Xenopus tropicalis: one gene and its partners. The protein of the gene in region 3 interacts with the protein of the main gene of each other region in a biochemical or structural test. Links are inferred from orthologs where the notes say so. Each region holds a gene or a part of one and is shown on either strand. Other genes may lie near its edges.

Region 1 (4,313 bases), about 18 Mb from region 3:
AGAGCTTTCTGGATAACGGGTTTCCGGATAACGGATCCCATACCTGTACTGCCTTAAAAAGACCAGTGCATTAACCATGGAATCAAATTCTTACCAAAAATCTCTTTCCGGTAATGCCTTGCTTTTTGACCAACTTTTCACAATCACGAAGGTTGTGCTTTTAAAAGGAAACAAACATAAAGGCATTTAAAAAAAAAACACACACACAAATTAATTACATTTTCATTACATAGACATAGAGTAACCAACTCATTAAGAACTTAAGAACTGATTATACCTGATAATGACACAAATAACGGTTTATAACAATGTATGGGTATTCATATGATATACTGTATTCTATAAAATGGCTTTCTGCTGACTTCATATAGATTTTATGGTGTTGAGGTAATAATACCAAAGCAAATTAGGAAAGCATAGATTTAAATATAATTATCTCATTCACAAAAAATCCTTAAATCTCTCCTGTTTATACATGACACATTAATATTAAGGAGTAAATGATGGATGCATAGAGAGACTTTTATATATACAGCAGAACCCCCATTTTACATTTTTCAGGGGACCAAAAAAATAGTATAAAATCAGGAAAATGCTTTATGCACTATATAATGGTCGAACCACAAAAAAAGGGTATAAATAAGGAAAAACTTTAAATCAGGGTATGTAAAATTGAGTTTTTACTGTAGTAGTAAGTTTGCTAAAAAATATTTTATAATTTACTGATCTACAGGAGAAAAAAGTAAATGATTTGACAAAGCATTGATAGCATTTGAGATATTGCTTGTAGACTAGCATTGATGCTACATTAGTATTATTCTTTGGTCTATATAGTCAATGCAAATGTTGTTTGCGTGTGGGTATGTGTGTGCATTAAGATACCCACTATGGAACCACATTAACCACTGACCACAGGTGTTGAATATGTAGTGGACAACACTGCCAAGCTACAAGATATCTATTTCATTGCTGTTAATGGCAATGTGTTACTGAATATGTTATTCCATAGGCTGCTAGCAAAACAAGTAGAAATGGGACCTGTTATCCAGAATGAATGTCACCTGGGGGTTATTAGATAAGGGATCTTTCCGTAATTTGGAATTCCATACCTTAAGTCTATTAAAAAAAACATTTAAACATTAAATAAACTCAATAGGATTGTTTTGCCTCCTATAAGGCGTAATTATTTCTTAGCTGGGATGAAGTACAAGGTACTGTTTTATTATTACAGAAAGAAGGAAATATGTTTTAAAATGGGCCTTCCCATAATACTGAGTTTTTTGGATAACGGGTTTCTGGATAATGGATCCCATACCTCTAAAATAATGTAACATTTTTTAATGACTTGTGCATGAGACTACATTAATTTAAAGCCCAGTAACAACACAATTTTAAAAGAGTTGTGTCTGCATTTAAATATAGTGACCTGCCACCCTTCACTTGCCAATTTGCACATTTCATTCCAGGGTTCTAACTGAGTTTATATAAAGAAACTACTTTGCCAGCTGATATTCAGGCTTCAGTTGTGCTGTAGGCCCCCCATTTAGAATCCAACTGTTTTAAACATTAAGTAAAAAATAACAGGGAACGGGGGTAATTTATAGCTCACTACATGCAAAACCTCTCTCATGTAAAACAGAGACACATTCAACATTTGACGTTGTTGCCAAACCATTATAAGGCCTTTAAAGCATTTTGTCAAACATAAGCGAAGGTAAGAAACAGCAGGGAAATAAAAGGTGGAAGTACAGCCAGTAAAGGACATAGGGGACACAAAACATTAGTGAGCAGCAGTAAAAAGGCTACAGTATTCCAAAAAGTTCCAAATTTGAGCTCAGAGAGGTGCAGCATTACTTTTATTTTGCATGGCACAAGTCTAGCCTGAATGCTAACACATGGCAAGGGTTAAACTGGCTCATTCAGATGGAGCAAACATTGTGGCATCACAGAGCTTATATGGCACAAATGGTACAATATGGTTCATGCCACAATGTGTGAAACATCTAGATAAAATGAGCTGTGTCTGTATTTCAGCAGACAAATTGCATATGGGGTAAGAAGGACTATAGCTAGGCAGAGACAAAAAGTCCAATAAACAATTCTGTCAATAAGAGGCTAGAAGCCAAGAACAAAATAAATGGGTCCCTTCTATCAAGGTCTCACAATATTTAGGAGAGTTGGAAACTGAAAACACAACTTAGTTCTGAAAAGGAAACTACTGAAAAAAGTATTTATTACTGAAAATAAATATGTTTATTTTATGTACAAATCTTAGAATGCAAGTGGTAGAAATATACTAAAAAATATATACTTTTTCTTTTCTTAGATAATAACAGCTACAAAATGCGTATCATTAAACATTCCTGCTTGCATTCTAAGGTTCTAAAAACAGGTTCTAAATACTGTGTTGTTACTGGCATTAAACAGAGTCTCACCACCTCCTGTTGACTTCTATAGGAACCACTTGATACCGCTACTGCAGAAAGTTCTTAGCTCTTATGAGCTGTGTGTGTGTGTGTAAAATGTATAACAGCAGAATACATACAGTATATATATAGTTTTATATAACAGTACTTACAGCTCTAAAATATTCAATGAGAGCTTCAGGGCTCCAACAGCTGACTTCGGAACATGAAGGGATGCTTCGGAAATCCATGTTTTTTCTCTTCTTTCTTTTTTTTTACAGAACAGGTTGTTTCATATTAGTCAGTTGCCTTCACAGTATCCCTTTGGCCAAGCCAAGAAGTTTAAAGATGTTGTCTATTCCTGTGAAATTTGTAGTCAGTGCCTGCTTTAGTTAAACAATACAGACACAATACACAATGCAGCTTTTGCCATTCAGTTACACTGAATCATCTTTTGAAAATGCAACTTCCCCTTGGTGTGAACGTTCGCTTCTCAGAAAAAGGCAACTGACTTCCTGTACCACTTCCTCAAATGAGACTCGTTTATGGTGTTAAGCTGTAGCTACATTAAAAAAAATAAACAAAACAATTATTAATCATACTCCTTCCCTTACAGCACTATTAATAGGGAATTTATGGCGCATACTTTATTTAATGGCACACAATTCTCTATTAATTGTTTGTTAACTTTGGAACTGTATTCCTAAATACTAGGCATGAAATTACAATTCAGATTATATTGAAAAAATGCAATTTATTGGGAATTGTGTACGAAATAATATAGTTATTGAGGTAACAAAAAGGCATAATCCATGTCTGTGAGTTGCATCTGAGAATAAAGGTTTAGAGGGGTGTTAGAGCTCAGTGCTACTTCCTAGCTCTAATACCCCACACAGTAGAATGGTGTTAGACAGCTCCGAGGTGCATAACATATCCTGCAGAATAGACACCACATCTTGAAAATGTGATCAAATCCAGCAGGATTCCCTCGTCTGAATTTTAGCAAAGAGGCCACATCCATTTATTTAATAAAATAGAAGTAAGGGGTCTTTGCAAATTGCTCCCCTGGTAGTTACGCCACTAGTGACTGTGTTAATCAGCACTGTATTGGTGAGGGGTGGGAGGCATGTGGGTGTCCCCCCACTTGTCCCCCACAACCCTCTAATTTGTACATCATTCAAACTTGCAAAGTAAAGAGCGGCTTAAGGTGGCCATACACGGACCGATTTTTTACTTACAAACGACCGATTCGCGAACGATCCGATGCTATCGTTAAGTTATCGTATAGTTGGTGGTGTACGAACGATCGTCGGCCCACTAAACGAGCCGACATTATCGTCCCCAAAATCGATCGGCCAGGTTTAAAAATTTTGGTCGTTTAACGATAAAATCTGCCAGTTGGTGTGAGTGTCAGACATTTGTCTTTCAACGATTGTTCTCTGCGCATGTCACGATTGCCAGCAACGACATCGATCGTACGTAGATGTACGATCGTAGGTATTTTACGATAATGATGCGACAAAATCTTTCCCGAATTATCGTTGCCCGTGGATGGCATATCGTATGGGAACTCGATCGCCATACGATCGTTTGTCGATATAATCGTTCATCGCACAACGAGCGAAATCGCCTCGTGTATGGCCACCTTTAGGGCTGGCCTGTGCCCCATGGCGTAAGGCATTGACTACAAGGTTCTAGAACTTCACAGGAATAACCAACATCAATTTTTTGGCTCTACAAAAAGGATACTTCAATGGGGGAATGTAAAAAAGACCTAAATGGAAAAAAATGCATACAAATATGAATAACAATTCACATATTGCAATGTAATATTGATCATTAGACTGTTACTGCATTGCAAATTTGAATTGCACATTGCTAACTTTTTAAGGCATGCATGAAGGTGGC
Region 2 (4,113 bases), on a different chromosome or scaffold from region 3:
GCAGCTCTAAAGCCAGTGCAATTATCAGATTTTAATAATCAGCCATGCAGCATCAGCTTATATAAAAGGCCAACCTCCTTTTTTGCAATGACAAAAGTAATTAGGGAATATACTGTAACTGAATAACCATGAACATAAGATGTCCAACACATTAGCCCATATAATTACCAGTAAAAGGAGGAACCAAGGTCCTTAAAATAAATACTTTCTCTGGGTACACAGGGTTCCTAATCATAGACTTGCATTACACCACACAGCCAAGTACAGTGAAACATCAATTTTACATCCCCTGATTTTAAGTTTTCCTGCATTTTACACCATCGTTTTTTGGTCCCACTAATAAATAATAAACTTCTGGGAAAATGTAAAATCAGGGATTTTGCGCCATCTATTTCTGGCCCCCTGAAAAACTTAAAATGGGGGTTCTACTGTAGTCTCATTCTTCATACTTTATAGGTGAACACATACAAAGAGAACACATTTACAGCTACAAGGCCACTGAAACGTATCTACACACGTGCAAGTTTCTTTTTTGGAGCCAGAATTAGTTCTAAACTCAGAACATGAAACCTTTCTAAATGACGGGCATTTGATTTTACAACTGTGCCCCCCCTCATCCCCTACAGCAGTGATCCCCAACCAGTGGCTCCTGAGCAACATGTTGCTCACCAGCCCCTTTGATGTTGCTCCCAGTGGCCTCAAAGTTGGTGCCCATTTTTGAATTTCTGACTTGGAGGCAAGTTTTGGAGGAATAAAGACCATTTGTACTTCTAAACAGAGCCTTTAGTAGTCTGCCAGTACACACTGGGCTACTAATTAACCAATCTGAGTCCTTATTGGTCACCTACTAGGCAAGTTTTTGTGCTTGTGTTGCTCCCCAGCTTTTTTTTCATTGAAATGTTGCTCACGGGTAAAAAAGGTTGGGGATCCCTGCCCTACAGTGTAAGTCACATTAAGCTACGGTCTTACAGTAACAAGCCAGACTCCATTATACGTAGAAACAACGTGCCATCTTTTGTCACGTATCTAGCCATCCAAAACACAGAATCCATGTTTAATACACTACGCTTTCATTCAAGTCTCATTTCTTTGTACGGGGAGCGGAAATCCCGTGTTGCCTAGCGCGCAGTTTTAATTCGCTCTCCCCTCCCCAGGTGGTGTTACGTTGCTTCCGGTGGGCGGTGCTAGCTACGATCTCTTCTTTTGTTGAGGCCGTGCAAGTGCGAGCGGATTTTCTTATCGACACCAGCACTGAGCGTATTGCCGACCAGTAACACCGAACCGAGCAACATGGAGACCGAGACCAAATACTTACCCGAACTGATGGCTGAGAAGGACAGCCTGGACCCATCTTTCACGCACGCTATGAGCCTCCTGGGCAAGGGTGAGTCGGGCTCGGGCGGGGTGTATTCATTTAAGGGTTTGGCGTGAGGGGGACAAAGGGAGTAGGCCAGGGGCCTAGGTAGTAGGATTGGAGTAAAAACACCTTTATGCATTCGGGCCTGCTATGCTTGGCCATGTGGCGTGTGTTAGGTTGCAAAGAATAATGGCGGCTTTGAGCTCACTGCATGCTGTGGATCAGTGTCTGGTTTGTCGACCAACCCTCCCCCACGGCCGTGTTTTTGCAGCTGCTGTTCGAAGTTAGACAAATTGGGGGACTGCCTTCCGAATGTTGCTGCTACTGGGTTTCCCATAGGCATATCCCTGTATGATGCTACACACAGTGTAACCCATGGGTGCAATACAGGCCGACTTAGATACTGTTTTGTCATTTCCAAATCCCTTTTAAGACCAGACCCTTTAATTGAAGTCCGCGTTGTCTTATAATCATTGTTTCAGAAATATTTAGGGAATGATATGTTAAACGTGAAGTATCTGATGGAGAAAATGCATTGTCCCCAAATCACACTGTATGGCCTTCAGTCAGACCCCCACAGCCTTTCTGTTTACCCTTTATTAGAATATATATCCCTTACATAGCAAAAGGTGCTGTGTCCTTATTCTTTAGGAAACATGAATAATTTGTTGGAAATTAGTAAACAAAAGGAATTCTGGTAATGAATTCCAGACTCTTAAAAAAAAAAAAAAAAATCCCATTTACATGGGTTTATCCTGTAGGCTACAGCTCACCCACTGGGTTTGAAGCTGAAGCCAGGACAATAGCTGATCAGATTCCCAACTACAGACCGGTTTTGCCCTTCTTGGGGCTCATCAGTGTAGTGCAGGGTTTTCTGATCAGCTTAGGTAGAGTCACCATGTGGTTCTACAAACAAATTAATAGGGTTACCTATTTATTTGTTTGGAAATTAGTAGATATGGGGGCAGCTGCTTGTTTCATATCTTTTGTCTTGTGAGTACATTTATTGTGACCTGCTGTGGTAATCTGTACAATGTATATATGCTGTGTTACCAGTTCTGTGATGTAGCAAGGGAATGAGATCCAAATGGCACTGTTTGCCCATGGTTTCTACATAAAAGCTTCTTTGTTCTGTGAGAGATACTGACGATTTCCTCCCTCTGTTGGCAGCTGTTCTTTGTCTAGAGGAGGTCAGGGTATAAACCCCATTGTATGTGCAAGAGAGAATTTATTTCTGCTACATGTTAACATGTTTAACATTTCTTAAACATTTCCAACAGTCCTTGTAACTGAAAAGTTTTAACATTGATTACAATTGTATTGTATGAAAGGATCTATATATATGTTTGGCTAAAGCATTGGACTGTGTGGGGGTTACAATATGTGTAAAAACTGGTTTGCTTTGCAATACCTGTTTGGAAGTGAAGTATGGCGATTGGTCAGTAGTTTCATTTATTTGTATGGTTAGTATTTGTCATGTATTTTTGAAGCTAGGGGTGCTTTGATTTTATGATGGACCACAAAGGCTTGAACCAAGACTTTTTTTAAGGCAAAGATTTCATTTGCTTATTTTTTCCTAGTTATAAGCTGCATTAATATAATGCATTTACTCCTTAGTTGTGCGGTTGTCTTTTGCATGATTGAAAAAAAAAAATGATCGACTATTCCTATGTAGTGTTTCAATTTTACAAATGTAGCCTCGATACCAATACAGACTTAGAAGTAAACTTGAAGTCTATATAATACCAATCAGATTTCTTTTTTTTTATCCTCACACGACTCCTTGGTCTTTACAAATCTTGTGTTTTAAAATGAAGGGCTGTAGCTATTTTTTCCCCTGCAGATTACCCTATATTTCTGTTCTTTCTATTGTGCATTGGGTATTCCCGTTCAGATTTGGGGGGTGGTAGATCAGAAGGATAAGAATGAAATGCATTAGTAGTGTTTGTCAGTGACAGTGAAGCTTTCTTGCAATTTTAGGGTAGCCCTGGTGAACTCTTGTCCATCCTTTAGTAAGGCTGATGTCAATATGCCCCACTTGTGCAGTCACTTAAAGTAATGCTATCCTCCTGTTACTGTGTGCATTTGTTGGGCTTTGGCAAGAAAGTGCAAAAGATTTATTTTCTGGCAAAATGTTGCCCCATAAGCATGGTGATGGGAGGATTCCATCCTTCTGCGCAGAATGGATGGAATTGGTCTTTTTTTTTTTTTAAGCTGGGTGGAAATTGCCTGGTACAGGTATAGGACCCATTATCCAGAATGCTCGGGACCAAGGGTATTCCGGATAAGGAGTCTTTCCGTAATTTGGATCTCCATACCTTAAGTCTACTAAAAAATCAAAACATTAATTAACCCCAATAGGATTGTTTTGCATCCAATAAGGATTAATTATATCTTAGTTGGGATCAATTACATGGTACTGTTTTATTACTACAGAGAAAAAGGAAATCAGTTTAAAAATTCTGAATTATTTGATTAAAATGGAGTCTATGAGAGACGGACTTTCCGTAATTCAGAGCTTTCTGGATAACGGGTTTCCGGATAAGGGGTCCTATACCCGTATTAAATGAAGTTTTTTTTCTATAGATTTTGTGATTGTCCACAGAATAAATATACTTGGCAGTAGGTTTCTACACAAAATGTTGTTCACTCTATGCACTTTTGTTTTATGCTGTGATGCCTTTTAGTAGGGGATACCCCAAAAAAGAGGTTGAAATTCTTGCCACTGCTCAGTTGTGCTAAAATGTTTAAAAGAT
Region 3 (4,180 bases):
CACCAAACACTTCCGAGTAGTCACTAGCAACTTCCGGAAGAGGTACGTCACGTTACGTCAGCGCGCTTTCCAGAGCGTCCATTACCTGTTACTATTGAACAATGGCGTGTTACTGCGCAGGCGCTGGAAGCGTTTAACGTGGTGCCAACTGCAGGGGGAGCCGTGTGGCTTCCCAAAAAGAATGTTTTATAAGCAGTATATGTTTGGCTGGTTATAGTCTTTGTACTACTGGTTGTTGCTCTTAAAAGCAAAAACAAGCTGGTTTAAAAGATGTAGTGAACATGAGTCTGCTACAGTATAGGTTCATGGCTTTCTACCCACCCATAGAATTCAAAACAATTCCCATATTAAATAGAACATATTTGTAGGTGCTGGACATACATAAAACATTTTTTAAATGTTCATCTTTATTCTCTTTATGGTGTTTATGGTCTGGACCTTTCATTTTAAAATTGAGATACAATAATGCGTATTTTGTGTTTCTAGGGCCAGTGGCACAATGAGAGGTTCCATGTGGGAAATTGCTGAAATTACTTGTGGAAACTGGAGGGCAGTCTGTGAGAAGACTGGGAGCAGCCTATGAAGAGACAGAGGAGCCTGTTATCAGCATGTGAGGTCTGCCCCTGTCAGTGCTTTGAGAGTGAGCACTAAGGGAATGCTCTTGCTTTTGCAGCAGGGGTATAAATAAATGGCCCCTACAGTGTGGCATTGCCATGATGCTGAAGGGCCAGATATACTGCTGGTGTACAAGTATGCTTGGGAGCTGTGAGCGGTAATTTAGTGATGCCCCTGCTACAAGTGTAGGAACACTTAAGCCCCCCATACACGGGCCGATAGAAGCTGCCGATATGGGTCCCTTGGACCGATTCAGCAGCTAATCGGTCCGTGTATGGGAAGAAACGAGCGGCCTGGCCAACCGATATCTGGCCTGAAATTGTCCAGATATTGATTGGCCAGGTTAGAAAATCCAGTCGGATCGGGGACCGCATCGGCTCGTTGATGCGGCCCCCGAACCGACTGCCCCATGGCCGCAACTGTAATCCGATCGTTTGGCCCCAGGGCCAAACGATCGGATTATTTTTTTTTAAAGCAACTTCCTACCCGATATCGCACACCCGTAGGTGGGGATATCGGGTAAAGATCCGCTCGCTTGGCGACATCGCCAAGCGAGCGGATCTTATAGTGTATGGGGACCTTAAGGGCCGTGGTAGACGGGGAGATAAGTTGCCTGCGAGTAATCTCCCTGATATGCCATTCCACTGGCTTGAATGTAAATCGCTGGTGGGATGGCATATGCCTTGAGAGGAAACTTCCGCGATTACGGGAAATCACGTCACTGCATATGCCATCTCACCGGCGATTTACATTTAAGCCGGTGGGATGGCATATGGGGGAGATAAATCGCCCGCAACTAGGGAGATTTGTCACGGGCGACTAATCTCCCCATCTGCCACGGCCCTAAGGGACACAAAATCACACCTTTAGTGCACATTTTCAAAGCACTTGTGACAGCCTCTGGGTAGTTGTGTTATTAGGGGCATAGTGTTGCACAGTCATCAGGACCAGAATGGAATTCAAAATAGGCCCTGGCATTTTAAGTACATAAAGGCCCAAAACAGCCCTCTAAATAGTGACTGTCTATGATAGATTACAGCAGTCCCTGTGGCATATGCCAGACTCCACAGATTGCCAGTCCAGGCCTGTCATTTATAATGCTAAAGGGACAGATAGTCTATTGGTAGGCACAGGGCAAATATCCTGCTGTGGTATATAGTGCCAGAAAGTCATGCTGATGGATAAAGATGATATTGGAGGGATACACCACTGGGCAGACAACAAATGGAAGCATGGAGAGCTGTGGTAGGTGGATTGCTGATTTGGGTTGAGCTTGGGCTGGGTAATGCAAGCTTATTTGGGCATAATTATTGCTATGGAGGATGATCTGCTTTGGCAAGAGCTGAGTTCAAGTGGAGAATATTTGGCACGGCCAAAGCTTAACCAGCTTAACCAGAATGCTTGAGAGTCCCGGGCCACATGGTAAGTTCACTATATGACCCTACTTGGTGCAGGTAACTACAGGGAAGCATATAGTAATTAAAGTGCAAGTCTTGAGTCACTGCTGATTCTTTTTGGGGGGGGGGTAAGGGCTCACAACATTATTCTCTGCCCCCCAGTATTATGGCGCTATTTACTGACTATAATTCACCAATATGGTACTTGTGGCCCTCCATATTGATACATAAGACATGTAACCACTTTTGTAAAGTTACATAAGACATGTATGACTAAAGCCTTCGAAATATTTAGTCCATTATAAGTTAGTTCTTGTGCTTTTTTGTGAGCAATGCACTTGTTATTAAGGTATACAGCAAAGCAGTGGGTAGAAAAATGTGTGAAATGTGCTGGAGAGAGCCCCTGCTGTACACAAGCAACTTAATAGAAAAAAGAAGGATGTGGTTGAAGCTTGAGGTCATAAAACAAGTTTTTCACCTTGCTCTGCTCACTGATGTCTCGATAAGTGACTCCCCCGCTCTCTATGGCAGCACCCCTTCCCCTACTCTGCCTTCTTTTTGAGTATTTCAGCTAACAGTCTCATGCAGTCATGTGATTGTTCATCCTCTCTCTTAGAGTGTTTTCTTAAAGGACTAGGTGGTCTCATTTAATTTTTCTTGAAAAAAGTAAAAAACAAATATTTTCTATGTGATCTGCCTCGGGGTCTTCTGGTGACTCTGGGAACAGGGTCTGGTATCCCAGATGAATAACCCTGTTATCCTGCAACAACAGCTTATTAAGAAGTCCCAGCAGAAGAGAAGGACGTCCCCAGCTAACTACAAGTCCAGGATCTTCATCCTGACCCACTCTTCACTCAACTACTACGAGCATCGGCAAGGGGTGAGCGAATGTAGCACAAGGGTTTGTAGGGCATTAGGTTGGAATGTGGTTTCATTCTTTGGCTTCTTTGTTCACAGTGTTCCTACAAACAAGGGTCTGTGTGAATGTTGTATTGATATGAATGCTTGTGTGTCTTATTAGGGTTGGAGCTACATCCTTGTCTTTCTCTTTCTGCCCCATCTTACTCCCTGGGTTTTTCTCTTGTCTTTATCATACCAGTAAGGACCCATGTAGCAATGTTGGTTATATCCTTGACATGCGCTAAGCTTAGTGCTTCAGCAGTTTTGTCTTACTGTACCAAAGGACTTCATAAATATATTTTAATCTTTTGACCTCAGTACAAAACTGTGCTAACAGTGTTAACAAAAATGATAGGCCTCTAAATAAACACCTGCCTCAATATTGGATGTCCTGACTGCAGGCATATGCATTCATAACGCAAACCTCCTTGGGCTTTATTCCACTATTCTGATTCATAGTCCAGATAAAGTTATTTCAGTTTTATAACTACAACTTCCAGCATTCTTCTTGCTGGGGCATTCTTGCTGGAAGTTGTATTTCTCTAACAGCTGTTTCATCATTAGTTGCTTATATCTGCTCATTATCATAAACCATGTTACATTGTTTATTATGATATAGTAGAGTAACTGGAGGTCATTTAAGAAAAAGAAAAAAAAATTGCAAGGTGCAAAGCCAATCAGCAGCAAGTGCAGGCCAGCCCTGTCTTTACTGCCTGCCATACAGGCAGTTGCGTTTCCATCTGAAAAGTTTGTTTTTGTTGCCCTCCTGATGCAGTGGGCTTGGGGCAAATGTCTTTTCTGACCCAGCCCTTTGTGGTTTGTACCTGTATTTTAGTAATCATGTAATCATGTTGGCTTGAAGTGTATATTTTACAGTTATAACATTAACACAGTTACAAATTAAATGGTGGTGGAAAAAACACACATGTCCATCAATGTGAACCTTTTTGTAATTTCTGCCTTCTAGCATCTCCTGTTTGCCCTAGAGGGGGGGAAATTTTCTTCTTAACTACAAAAAGGGCAATCGAGCCAGTACCTGCATCCAGTGGTGTATCTACAATGTGCCTCAGGCACCCCTTCCCCATAAAAAAAATCTTTGGAGGGGCACGGCATGCAAAGCAAGCCCTACCTGGCCCCCGCATGCTCCTGTACCCTGCTCGTGCCACGTTAGGTAGGAGAGAGCAGTTGGGGAAGGGGGATTTCTAGCACCTACGGAAGAAGCAGATCCCATGGTCTGGGCCCCCCACAACCACATATAACCTCTATAA

Evidence for each region.
Region 1: the proteins of itk (region 3) and lcp2 form a complex in vitro, tested with the Homo sapiens proteins (2 studies listed by BioGRID, with this or other methods). The link is inferred for Xenopus tropicalis from reciprocal best matches to the Homo sapiens genes ITK and LCP2.
Region 2: the proteins of itk (region 3) and khdrbs1 form a complex in vitro, tested with the Homo sapiens proteins (4 studies listed by BioGRID, with this or other methods). The link is inferred for Xenopus tropicalis from reciprocal best matches to the Homo sapiens genes ITK and KHDRBS1.

Annotation. Positions count from the first base shown.
Region 1 is NC_030679.2:32,309,743-32,314,055, reverse strand, and holds the start of lcp2 (lymphocyte cytosolic protein 2), read right to left. Parts: upstream 2,845-4,313; 5' UTR 2,657-2,844; coding exon 2,579-2,656; intron 158-2,578; coding exon 95-157; intron 1-94. UniProt on the Homo sapiens protein: Adapter protein primarily involved in signaling pathways within T-cells, as well as other immune cells such as platelets, mast cells, and natural killer (NK) cells.
Region 2 is NC_030678.2:86,521,111-86,525,223, forward strand, and holds the start of khdrbs1 (KH domain-containing, RNA-binding, signal transduction-associated protein 1), read left to right. Parts: upstream 1-1,286; 5' UTR 1,287-1,290; coding exon 1,291-1,384; intron 1,385-4,113. UniProt on the Homo sapiens protein: Recruited and tyrosine phosphorylated by several receptor systems, for example the T-cell, leptin and insulin receptors. Once phosphorylated, functions as an adapter protein in signal transduction cascades by binding to SH2 and SH3 domain-containing proteins.
Region 3 is NC_030679.2:14,179,368-14,183,547, reverse strand, and holds the start of itk (tyrosine-protein kinase ITK/TSK), read left to right. Parts: upstream 1-1,338; 5' UTR 1,339-2,754; coding exon 2,755-2,892; intron 2,893-4,180. UniProt on the Homo sapiens protein: Tyrosine kinase that plays an essential role in regulation of the adaptive immune response. Regulates the development, function and differentiation of conventional T-cells and nonconventional NKT-cells.